Danio rerio: one gene and its partners. The protein of the gene in region 2 interacts with the protein of the main gene of each other region in a biochemical or structural test. Links are inferred from orthologs where the notes say so. Each region holds a gene or a part of one and is shown on either strand. Other genes may lie near its edges.

The links.
Region 1: the proteins of ube2s (region 2) and rnf7 form a complex in vitro, tested with the Homo sapiens proteins (3 studies listed by BioGRID). The link is inferred for Danio rerio from reciprocal best matches to the Homo sapiens genes UBE2S and RNF7.
Region 3: the proteins of ube2s (region 2) and anapc11 form a complex in vitro, tested with the Homo sapiens proteins (31 studies listed by BioGRID). The link is inferred for Danio rerio from reciprocal best matches to the Homo sapiens genes UBE2S and ANAPC11.

Annotation. Positions count from the first base shown.
Region 1 is NC_133193.1:44,703,749-44,707,951, forward strand, and holds the start of rnf7 (RING-box protein 2), read right to left. Parts: upstream 2,806-4,203; 5' UTR 2,803-2,805; coding exon 2,628-2,802; intron 1,247-2,627; coding exon 1,199-1,246; intron 1-1,198. UniProt on the Homo sapiens protein: Catalytic component of multiple cullin-5-RING E3 ubiquitin-protein ligase complexes (ECS complexes), which mediate the ubiquitination and subsequent proteasomal degradation of target proteins.
Region 2 is NC_133191.1:14,031,411-14,035,741, forward strand, and holds the start of ube2s (ubiquitin-conjugating enzyme E2 S), read right to left. Parts: upstream 2,835-4,331; 5' UTR 2,355-2,834; coding exon 2,352-2,354; intron 1,223-2,351; coding exon 1,075-1,222; intron 980-1,074; coding exon 789-979; intron 1-788. UniProt on the Homo sapiens protein: Accepts ubiquitin from the E1 complex and catalyzes its covalent attachment to other proteins. Catalyzes 'Lys-11'-linked polyubiquitination.
Region 3 is NC_133181.1:24,269,212-24,273,504, reverse strand, and holds the start of anapc11 (anaphase-promoting complex subunit 11), read left to right. Parts: upstream 1-1,460; 5' UTR 1,461-1,519; intron 1,520-2,538; 5' UTR 2,539-2,543; coding exon 2,544-2,652; intron 2,653-4,293. UniProt on the Homo sapiens protein: Together with the cullin protein ANAPC2, constitutes the catalytic component of the anaphase promoting complex/cyclosome (APC/C), a cell cycle-regulated E3 ubiquitin ligase that controls progression through mitosis and the G1 phase of the cell cycle.

The DNA of each region.
Region 1 (4,203 bases), on a different chromosome or scaffold from region 2:
GAATTTATTGTCCCCCTGCCCGACCCGCCCCGTTTTCTGCCCGCCACACCCGATCCCGCTAAAGAGCGGGGGAGAACAAAACTGAAAATCCCCCAGCTATACAGTCCAGACAGCCAAGCTGTCTGTATAAACACACACAGCACCAAGCACACACACACAGACAAATCTCTCTCTCTCTCATACGCGCGCGTGCGCACTAACACACACACAAGCACCAAGCAGACACACAGGCGTTTGCTGTTATATCAACTCAAAGGCTTGTAATACCATGTATCAAGTACCAATGTAATACCAAAAGGTTTTATATAAAGATATATAAATACTGAGTCGCGCCAGCTCCGGGCCGCAGCGCACATTACTATCGGTCCGATTCCGGCAGGGATGCGGCAGCGTCGGTTTGCTTAAGGCTGCCGCATCTGGCCCGATTGATTCGGGCCGGAATCGGGCAGTGAGTCCACAAGCATCCGGAGTCCGGCAGCCAGAGCCGGGCTGAGTGGTAAGTCTCTGGCAGGCGAGAATCTAGCCGGAACTGGCCTGAGTGTATTTTGCTATCTGGGAAAGCTCTCTCTCTCTCTCTCTCATTCGCGCGCGCACTAACATACACACACACACAAGCACCAAGCACACACACAGGCAAAGCTCTCTCTCTCTCTCTCTCATTCACATAGCAATATCCGCGATATTGCTAGACAGCCCGCTCCCGTCCTAAATTAAACCTGTTACCGACCGCTCCCGCGACTTATTTGGAAATTTATTCCCGCGCCGCAGAAATCTGGTCGGGTCCTGTGGCGCCCGCGGGAATGCAGACCTCTATAACGAACCTTTTTCCAATACAATTGAGTCGAGCACTTCACTTGTTCAGAAAGCTTCATTTTACCATCACTAGTATGATGATGTACTTCCAACTGAAACAAAATATTAAGTAGGGGTTGGGGCTTTCTTTTTGCACATTATTTCCCCATAGCAAAGTAATTGTAAGAGGGGCATGGCTAATATTATTGTTTATGAGTGAAGCAGTTGAGCTGATGTCAACAGATAAAGGCTGGCACTCCAAGCATGAAAGCAAATGGTCAGAATTACCAAAAAAAATGTCCCCAGTGGATTAACATGCACTGATTAATCGTTCACCTAAAGATTAACTATGTGTGCGAGCACAATAAACATGGTACATTTTGATTTCACATGGGCTTTAACTTACCAACGCAGTCTTCTTGTTTGTTTTCGGCCTGACACCTCAAGCAGGCATCTGAAATGGAGTAAATCAGACATATTCAAAAACACCTGCTGGGATTTATATATTGTGCTAGAAGTAAACCAAAACTCAGATACAGTTGTAAATTAAAAAGAAAATACCAACGGAGAGTTTTCTTTCTTTGGTATTGTGATGTCTGTTTTATTGTGACGTCTGTTCATTCGCACAGTTTAAAGGCAGCTAGTGAAGCATTTGCCCAATATATGACAGTGGTCTGACTGCAGACTTGGTGCAGTTGCAAGCTGAGCTGCAACAGTGACGTCACTAGCTCCATTGAGTGCATTGTGTCTGATATTGCAAAGCTGAGACATGAAGTCTGCATCCAGATACTACTGGACTGGAATTTAAAAGGTCTGCCCAAACGTACACCAAACATGGTTTTATATTTGCACATTAGTTCATTTTTGAGAGTGACCTCTTCTGACCTGATCTCTATATTGTTTATTATGCTACTTTGATTGCTCAGTCTGAAATTACAAATGATATATAATATTATAAAAAATGATACATTAGTACTATTTAATTGACTGGCTGCTGTGCTTAACTATTTAAAATTGGCAAAGAACGCTTTCCTGAAATTATGGATAAAATCCAAATGTGCAAATATAAAACCAACTTTAACCCAATCACTTAAAGGCTGACAAATGCCATTTTGCAGGAGTGGGTTTTAGCGAACTAAATGTCAAGAGAGAAAAAAAAGAATGCCAGCAGAGGAAAGTCATTTTTCCTATAGGGTCAAATTTTGACATTTTGGTTAGTCTAGATATTACAAAGTCTTAATTGTTCATAATAAGATTTATACAGTTTTAACTTCACAGTTGCTTTTAAACAGGACAGACTTGCTGAGATCATATGAAATCACAGTCTGACTGTGCACATTTATTATAGTCTGAATATTTACACTGACTTGACCAAATAATGTGAACTGCCTACCTAATCTCCATTTTGCTGTAAACTGTTAAACTAATCATAAACTAATGTTTTTCCCCTTCACATGTATATTTGCATAATTTATACATTATTGAACATATCTTAGACGTCATATGGATTTGAATGTAAGTTTAATATTTACATATAATGTCCATTCTATGTTTCTATTCTCGTCTGTTTTGAAGCATTAATGCATTTGCTCGTCGCATTTAAACAGTATGTCATGCATTATATGCACTTTCCAATGTTCGAGTAAACATTTATGTCATCACTTTAGGTTTCAACAAATTCTGTCTCGGTAGACAGCAGTGTGTTATATTGCTGAAAACGACTCGGTCGTGTGTCAGGCAGATATTATCAAATTCATCAGCCTCCATTCTTGGTCTGTTTATCTGAGAATGATTAGAAATGCTATCGGCTAGCCGGTTAGCTAAAAAACACTCACCCATAACTTGAACGCGACAAATAGCGCAGGTGTCACACTCCACATCCCAGCTCCACATGGCCACCGCGTTCCACTTCTTCAGGGAAAACATTTTGTCTCCCCCTGATTTGGACCCAGAAGAACCGCTGTGAGAATGTCCTAAACCTGGCTCATCACCGTCGTCCATCTCCGCCATGGCGAAGAGGCGTAGAAACAAAATGGCTGAGATAGGCTGGTCTGCAGACACGCAGATCGGCCTCTAGCTGGAGTTGTCTGTTAACAGGCCCCTGGCTGGATGTTTTAAAATACTGCGATGTAGAACATTTTTAATAAACACTTTAATAAACATTTTTTTAATCAATTTATTTAATTTTTCATGCTAATAATTCCCTCATTCGAAATTTCTGTATGTATTTGATTGAAAATGTATCTTATATTTGAACTTTAACTATATTTAACTCATATAAACTTCTTTTCTTGAAACTATATCCAACTTATTTTTTAAAAAACGTGGAGAATTGCACATTTTGATCATATAAATACAAACTATGTTGGAAAAACTTCAGAACTTTTGTACAATTGTTATCTGTTGAATAAATTAGCCAATATGCTGTGATTCCCAATACAATAAAAATATTGTAGAAACAAACTTACCCACATGAAAAAAAAATACTAAAGTGATTTATAATAAATAATATAGTGCTTTTGAACCAAAGGCTACTATTTTAGGCCTATTAATATTTATACTATAGTATTCAAAACAACTCTGTTAGTTGAGCATAGCCGTATTAACTGATAATCTACTGTAAACATATGTAATATAATTTTTACTAAAGAAACGTTGATATATTGTAATATAATAGCCAGAGTTGTAAAAATGTAGTACTATTTGTTTATATTTATTAAATTGTATTTTCTAAATCTTTTAATCTTACAAAAAAATTTAAGTTTATATATTATGATTGGTATATATCATTAGTTCTTCTATTACCATATTATTATTTTACAGTAATAGCACATTTTATTTCATATATGTCAAAAACATGTATAGCCTATATTTTTTCATGTGGGTATATAAGTTGAGCTAATATATTCTTGCTTGGACTTAGAAATATGCAAAAATATAAGATTTATTTAGGCTATATATATATATATATATTTAAAAAAATTCAGTCAGCATTCAGAATGGCTAATTTCGGGTAAATCAATAAACGCAAATTCTGTCAATATACTATTTTTAAAGTTTAAATCAAGTTTGGGCCAGCTTAAAAAAAGAATAATAAATAACGATTAATGTATTTTTAAGTGTTAAATTGAGAGTGGCTAATAATTAATTAAGCAGCTTTTTTCAGTTACTTTTTGTCTATTTCCAAATCATCTAAAAAGAAAAAAAAATCATAAAAAATAATGACATTAGAATGAACAGATATTTAAAATAGAATAATAAAATAAAAAGCTAAGCATGTGACCCATGTCTGCTTTGCATTATATTGCATGTTTTGCAGTAAAGCACATTCACAATGCTGAATAGGCCTACGTTGACACTGAAATCATCATCATTCTTTCAGCATGCAACCTCGTCAAGGTTGCACTATCA
Region 2 (4,331 bases):
CTCAGTATATTAAATGAGAAAACAGTGGGCATGGCTTGTTTTTTCTGCTGCAAGCTGAATGGATGTAGTAAAGTAGGCATTTCATTCAGAAAGATAGTAAAAGGGGTTTTGAAAGTGATTTCATTTCAGCAAAACAGATTGATTAAACGTATATATTTATTAAATAATATTTTAGTGACTGAACATCTTTAGAAATAGAAAGATAACACATTAAATTCATGCAAAATATTGGAAAAAACAAACAAATTACAAACTACACAATTTACAATTTGTTAATTATATTAATTAAATATATATTTTTTGTTTCTTTTGATTTTCTTCATTCTTTAATTTTGATTTTAGATTTTTCCCTAAACATATAGATTAGGGCTACTAATTTTTGGACTGCTACCTTAAGTTATTTTTTTAGATTAGCTCCAGATTTTGCTTCAGTACTGAATAATCAAATGTATATGTACAAATACAATATTGTAAAGCATCCTATAGAAAACATTAAAAAGATTTGTGAGGGGTGTACTCATATACTGGGCACTGTATGTCCATGTACACGCACATATTTAATTACAGTTTAGATTTATTAATTCAACTGGTAAATCTAAGATGTTGCAGAACCTTATATTTTAGGGCAGGGGTGTCCAAACTCGGTACTGGAGGGCCTTCCCTAAACACACCTGCCTGGACTGAGTTTGGACACCCCTGTTTTAGGGAATTTCTGACCATGAAACAAAAGGGAAAAAAAATTTAGTCAATGTTTGAAAGAACTTCAGAAAGAATAAAATATTACTTACCAACAATACATGTCTCAAGCCCAGCTCTGCTTTCCAGTCTCTCTTGAGTACATTGACACAGATCTCACCCTTGTGCCCAACATTAGGATGGAAAATCTTTGTGAGGAAATAGCCTCTGGGAGGAACGGCAGGAAAGTCCTTCCCAAGCACCAAACGCATCCGGAACACACCACCTGCATATGGAGTTCCTTCTGTTGAGCAGAAGACGGGGGAAAACAAGTTGCAAGTGCAATGATTAGATCACGGCTTTCATTGAGAAGAGGAAACTGTGATAATCTCTACTTGCCTGGGCCCTCAATGGAAGTGTGCAGCTCTGTGATGTCCTCTTCACTGGGGTAGATTTTGATCCCCTCAGGAGGATCTGCTGCTAAAGCTGAAACTTCTTTATAGACGAGTCTCAACACTTGAGGCGGCAAGTTCTCCACATTTGAATTCTGCACACAATAAAATGTCAAATGTAACAAATTGCAAAATTTAAAAAATGGTGGGGAAAACTTTTTATTTAGAAAATAATACAAAATTATTAATTTTAAGAAACTTTAGCCTATACAAGTTCATAAACTTGATACATAATACATACATTACGGGTGAAGATTTTGGGATCAGTAGGATTTTTCAATGATTTAAAATAAGCTCATGTGGCTCACCAAGGCTGCATTTGTTTAATCAAAAATACAGAACAAATTACATAATTGTGAAATGTTATTGCACTGTAAAATAACCGTTCAAAAGTAATTCATAATTTAATAATTTATTCTAGTGATTTTAATGATGAAATTTCAGCTTTATTATTTTAGTCTCCAGAGTGACATGATCCTTCAAAAATCACGCTAACATTAGTTATTATTATTAATGGTAATAGTAATAAAAACAATAATGATGGAGTAATAATTTCATTTGAAACCACATACAGTAAGCAAGCAGTTATTTGATAGTATCACTACTATTAAAATAAACAAATAAACAAATGTAATAAATCAAAATAAATAATATAATGGAAAAAAACAAGAGCCTAGCACATCTGCTTCACCAAACAACAAAAATAGGTGGAATTTCGTTCATTTATCCACAATAAAATACACATTTATTTAATTAAAAAGCAAAAACACGAAGAAAAAAAGTGGAACAATTGTGCGACGTATATCATACTGAGCTTGTATCGTCTGGTAATCAAGCACTTAACAATAAATTATATTTTTCGGAACTTTTAGTTAGGATAAAGTAATAATTACCCAGTTACTTTAATATAATGCTTTATTACAAAAAGTATGACAAATGCCACACAATTCGACATTAGTGATGCATTAACGCGAGAAAAAGTTAAAAAGCCTTTTGTTAACAAACGTTCGTAAAAAAATATTAATGCTGCATAATACAGTGCTTATAATTACTGTCAATTTAACAATCAAAGCATATTTGAGTTTAAATCACATTACTGTAAAGAGTCTCTCAAAACAAGCTGAACGACTAAAAAGTAAGACAAATAAACAGTAAAGCTGTTTTGTTGTTGTTGTTGTAATCAGTTTGATGAATCACTCGTAAACAATACATAATTGAACCTACCATTTTTAGGCGTGCTGGATTTTTTAATCGGCAGCAAATTTGTCCCAAAGGAGAACTTAGCAGAACTGACACTCAACCGGCCGATTTGACGGATTCGGTGATCTGTAACCGGACTGACGGAACAAAACGATAACGAATCTAAAAGTTGCAACCAATCAAAGATAGCAAAGTATTCCAAGACGCCTGACTATTATATAAATAACCAAAACCAATTTTCACTGTGATGTCGGTCGGCTTGCTAGTGCTGCTATCAAACCAGGCTAGGCTAACTGTGGGATAGCTAGCTATTCTCCAGAGCTGCCTTTTGTGAAACTTCAATGCGACGTTGTCTTCAGATCAAATATCTCGTGTAAAGATTTTTTAAATCCAACGTGGTGTTAATTTCGTCTGCGGTAATTGATTTGTTTGATAGCTAGTCTGCTGCTGCTGACGGCTACTGTAGCCTGTTATCAGCTAGCAGTCTTTGACACGGAACAAAAATACAATTCGTCTAAGCAGCAGTTCGAAATACGTTTAACCAATCAGAATGTGAGAAGGACTTCACGTGCTCAACAATTAAAGCGTTTTGACCAATCAGAAGCACGGGTTGTGCTGACGTAGCTGGCCTTGGAAACCACTTCGACCAGAGAAAGTTGAGAATGCGAAAGATGCTGTTTGCTAATAGGTGCGTTTGAAAAACTCCTGCCCTCCCAGAGGCAGGGACTGATGTGTGGCTTCAAATCGACATCCAATGAAAGACGCAGAAAGAAATATAAGAAAAACTTTAGAGGTTTTTTATTACTGTAATTGGTTTCTTCTAGTGCAGATCACGATGGAAGAATTCTGAAAGATTGAGTTAAACTAAAGATTAATTTGCCTTAAAATACAGTTTTACTCACTCAACAATTAATGATTAAAAAGCTACATAATTTTTATTTTATTTTATGTAATATTTTAACAACATGTAATGATTTCACTGTTTTTACTTTTTTATTTTTTTTCCTGCATTCTGTATAAAATGTCAAATATTCCTTGTTTTTTATTTGGCTTTTTTTTTTTTTTTTTTTTTTTGATAATTCAGTTGCCATCATTTTGTTATTGATAATCGAACGAGGGTGTGGCAAACAATTTACCTTATTTCTTATTTAATTTCAATTTCATTTATAAAACACTTTAAAACAGTTGAAAGTGCTGACAATAGAGAGTAAAACAAAGCGTAGCACTTATTATAATGTCCACCTTGTTACTCCTGTCTAACTATATAGTTTTTTCATGGTAATAAATAAAATCAATACACATTACAAATGTTTTTTGGTTACTTGCATCCAAAGAACTAACCAACAGGATTTAATGGCATTGCAGTCTCGAAATACATTACATTTACAAAGTGCCATATAACAAGTCTTTTTTGAGATAATTCTTGTTTAGTAATACCTTTAAAAAATACTATTGCTATACTATACTATTGGTAAAGTGAAAAACATTTTAGCTCCTAGAAAATGTAAATATTACATAAACTATTTATTTGAAACACCTTCTAAAAGATATGAGAATTTTCTGTAATGGGGACATTTAGCCTGTGTTACATGTGAAAATTCTGTAAAAAATGATAAACCGTAATATCCTTAGCTGCACCTGTATATTTTTCTTATAGTTTAATAAGTTCTCCTTCGACTGAAATTTAATCTTGGAAAATAAAACATTTTTTTCAGGGACAGTAACTACCCTAAAATGTCACTGCATAGTTGCACGGTTTCAAAATATCATGGTATTGTGGCTCCAAAACATGTTCTTTTTAAATGTCTGGTTTAAAAAAAATAAAATAAAATTTGGAACAAACATATTTTATTTTGAGAAACATTTAAAATATTTTGGAACAGTAAACATGTCAGATTAAATAATTCATTAAATCACAGATTTATATACAATTTAAAATTGCATCTTTGGATATCTTTTCTGCTGGAGGTACTGTTGTACAAAAAACAAAAACAAAAAAGTAAA
Region 3 (4,293 bases), on a different chromosome or scaffold from region 2:
ACCCCGGCCTCTGACTCGTGTAGCACCGGGCAGTTAGCACGTTAGCACATTAGCGCGAGTAACTTTTACTCGTGTAAACAAGTTAAATTACATACCGAACTGTAGTTTGTGTCTTATCAGTGTTATATTAATACGTAATTTAAAACAACATCGATTAAAACACCCAGGAAATTCGTTAAAACATTTAATTAACTATACCTGATAACTGTCAAAATATGCAACATAAGTATTTGTCATATAACCGATGTCATTACATTATGATGGTGAAAAACATTATAACTTACCCAAAAATTCGATTAATTTGATGATAGATCTTAATTAAGTTGATTAAAGTCGGATTCATTTATGAGATCTGCGCATGTGCAGTAGGCAGAGTGTGTGAATAGCGCCAAGTGTGTGTCAGGGTGCAGTACCGCCATCCGACTACAGGACCGCTATAGAGCAGTGCGCCGACACACACTTACACACTCAATTCAGGTAAATGGTCAAGGTGGGGATCAGTGAAAAAAACTGCACTAGGCATATCAGCAACGCCCCCTGAGTCTTTTAAAGGCAAAACATAGTGGGGACCGGGCGATCGGTCCCCACTATGTTTTTGGTCCCCACTTTGTGAGTGTGCTATCATGCTGAGGTCCCCACCATGTAATAAAAACAAACACACACACACACACACACACACACACACACACACACACACACAAACTGGTTACAACGAAAGTTTAATGTGTGAATTCGTTTCTCTTAAATTTACTAAGATTTACGTTAACGTTACCTCTTCCTGTCTGTTCATCTGATCCTCTTGCCGACCTTCCATTTCTTGGTAGTTTAAGTAACGTAATACAACAAGGACACAAACAAACATAAACAATTGTACAAGACAAAAATAAATAAGTAATAATTATAATTGTTATAATCACCTTTTTCAATTGTAGACTGGGCATATGTAACTTAGCAGAGCTATACGTTAAACGTATAAGTTAAAGATGTAACTTACCCCAAAGTTTTCGTTCAGATAGCAATTTTTAATTCACAGTCCTTTAGCGGAAATAATTAACGTTTTTTTCGCTTTAGATTCGGTATATCAGAATATTTAATGCTTTTAATTTAATTTCTGTTGATGACAATTTAGCACACGAGTGGCTTTCCCTTTGCATCTCTGTTGCTAGGAGAAGCTAAACACTTCCGTCTTTTTCGTTGTTGGGTAAAGTCTAGATGGGATACAGCTGAATATGTTAGTATCCGAGGCTGTATCCCTTTTGGGCTTTAACGGCATTTCTTCTTCGTTGGAACTCAAACAGAGGTGTAGAAAAAATAAACAACGACAATTTTAAAAAAAAAAGATTAACTTGTTAATTTTTTTGTTTATTATTTAAGGATAAATGTCTATTTACATCTCCAACACTGTAGGTGGCGATGTTGTGGTTTCAGCTGGCTTAAGGGAGCGTGAAGAAAAGCTGAGCATAAATGCTACATTGTGCTCACTGCTCATCATACATGTTATGGATGTGAGAACGTAACAGTAAGTGATCTTACTTCTGTTTGTTAGTACACATAAAACGATTTGCTCTCGGCCATGCACGGGGAATGCAGCATATTTAGATTAGTATTATGTTCACGTTAACAGACCAGTGTTTTCACTCATATCTGCGCTGGTAAGGGTTGATATGTAATTTATTCTAACAAAATAAGAGTAATAATTACGGAATTACATTTGTTTGATGTGGCATTATGATGAAATGTATTTCTAAATATAAATTGGAAAAAAAAAGATCTAATATAATATTATAATCTAACACTGTTTTTCCCAAAGTGGGAGTCCCTTGGTTGCCATCAGCCTTTTAATTATTATTTCTTCATAGGATTGGTGTTTATGTTAGATTGCAGCAATATTGTCAGCTGCAGCAAATTTTAAAGCATCAGGTTAAACTTTCTGACACCTTTATGGAAATAAAATAACTTGCATTAAAAATAAATACAGGCCACAACAGAATATTGGGAATCATCTCTGAGTGGCGGTCTATAAAATAAAACCAAGTATAGACTTGTGCTGAAAACATTGTGCCCTCCAATCTCTTTAGTTGAGGTTAATATCAAATTAAACAAACTAATAAATTACTTTAAATATGATAGTCGTTAGACTGTTGCACTTTTTTCTGTTGTCAATATGCTCGTGTTTATATAGGCCTATTGCTGTATGTGCAACACTAGTATATTTATAACCACCTCCAATCAATCTGGGGGTTGCGAGTGACTGGCATTTTGGGAAACCCTGATCTAACAGGTACATGAACATTGTATTCATTCAGTCTGTAAAGGATCCTACTTATATTTTTAATCATGATTATAGTCTCCATAAAATGTTTTGCAGTTAATTTCTAATCCTCACTAAGAGCTAGAAATGACGTGGAAAACCACTGGTTAAAATCTGTAGGACCTTGCATGGTAATAACATGTGGTACACTACTAAATGGAAGTGATTATTGCTTTTGAAAAATGTGTAAATAAATAAATCTGCATTGTTTTTTTTGTGTGTTACAGAAGGAATGAAGGTTAAAATAAAGCAGTGGAACGGTGTGGCATCCTGGTTATGGGTGGCCAATGATGAAAATTGCGGCATCTGTCGGGCATCTTTCAATGGTTGCTGCCCAGACTGTGGGTAACCTGATTACACATCACCCACAAATACTATACTCTGCCATCTTTGTGTTTTAAGTTTTACGATAAAAAGCAGGTTTATCATAAAACAGTGTCATTCCCAGTGGAATTTCAATAGCAACATGTTTTAGAAATTTTTGGTTCATGAAAGTAACATGACATGAAAGTGAAGTGACACATGGCCAAGCATGGTCACCCATTCTGTTGCTGCATCCAAAATTGTTTGGGATAACTTTTGGTGATGACTTTTGGTGACCCAAAGTTATCCAACATGTGCGCCCGATAGCTCCCCTCCTTCCGCTCTGTGAGAAAAGTTGTGGTTGTTGAGTGCGTGACATGTCCATCATTCAACACTTCATTTTACCGTTTGAATGAGTGCATCATCCGGGCAATTAAAGTGCACTTATTATTTTTAGAGATTTCAGTGTGACAGCACTAGTCTACAGAACAAACCCTCATTATACAATAACTTGCCTTATTACCCTATCCTGCTTAGTTAACCTAATTAACCTAGTTAAGCAAGCCTTTAAATGTCACTTTAAGCTGTATAGAAGTGTCTTGAAAAATATATATTGAATAAAATAACATTTACTGTAATCATGGCAAAGATAAAAGAAATCAGTTGTTAAAAATGAGTTAATAAAACTATTATGTGTCTGGGGAAAGAAAAAAAAAAAAAAAATATATATATATATATATATATATACACACACACACACACACACACACACACACACACACACACACACACACACACACACACACACACACAAAGAGGGTGGGCCATTTATATGGATACACCTTTATAAAATGGGAATGGTTGGTGATATTAATGTCCTGTTTGTGGCACATTAGTATATGTGAGGGGCAAACTTTTCATGATAGGTGGTGACCATAGTGGGCATTTTTAAGTCGGCCATCTTGGATCCAACTTTTGTTATTTCAATAGGAAAAAGGTCATTTGACGCATCAAACATATTGGGAATTTCATGAGAAAAACAATGGTGTGCCTGGTTTTAATGTAACTTTATTTTTTAAGAATAGTTATATTAAAACCAAGCAAGTTTGATGGGACAATGATCCTTTTCCTATCGAAAAAACAAATTTGGGACAAAGATGGCCGACTTTAAAGTAGCCACTATGGTCACCACCCATCTTGAAAAGTTGGCCCCCTCACATATACTTATGTGCCACAAACAAGACATTAATATTACCAACTATTCCCATTTTATTAAGGTGTATCCATGTAAATGGCCCACCCTATATATATATATATATATATATATATATATATATATATATATATATGTGTATGTATATTAGTGGAAAAAATGCATATATTTCTTCTTTTTTTTTTTTTTTTACTGAACCAGTCTGCAGTAACGAAAACAGGAGACTCATTAGAAACAAACAAATGGCCAACCAAAAAGTTACTTGGGGTTATACAAGGAGTGGCCAACACAAAATATATACATTACTGATCCGAGTCCCATCTCCCACTCAATACACTACAATATAATTATAGTATAATAAATACAGCACTAAAACATAAAAGAGAGAGAGATCAACTTATAATGTCACTGGCCTTTTTAGTAATAATTTGATCATGTATAGTTAGAAATTACTGTATGGCGTTTT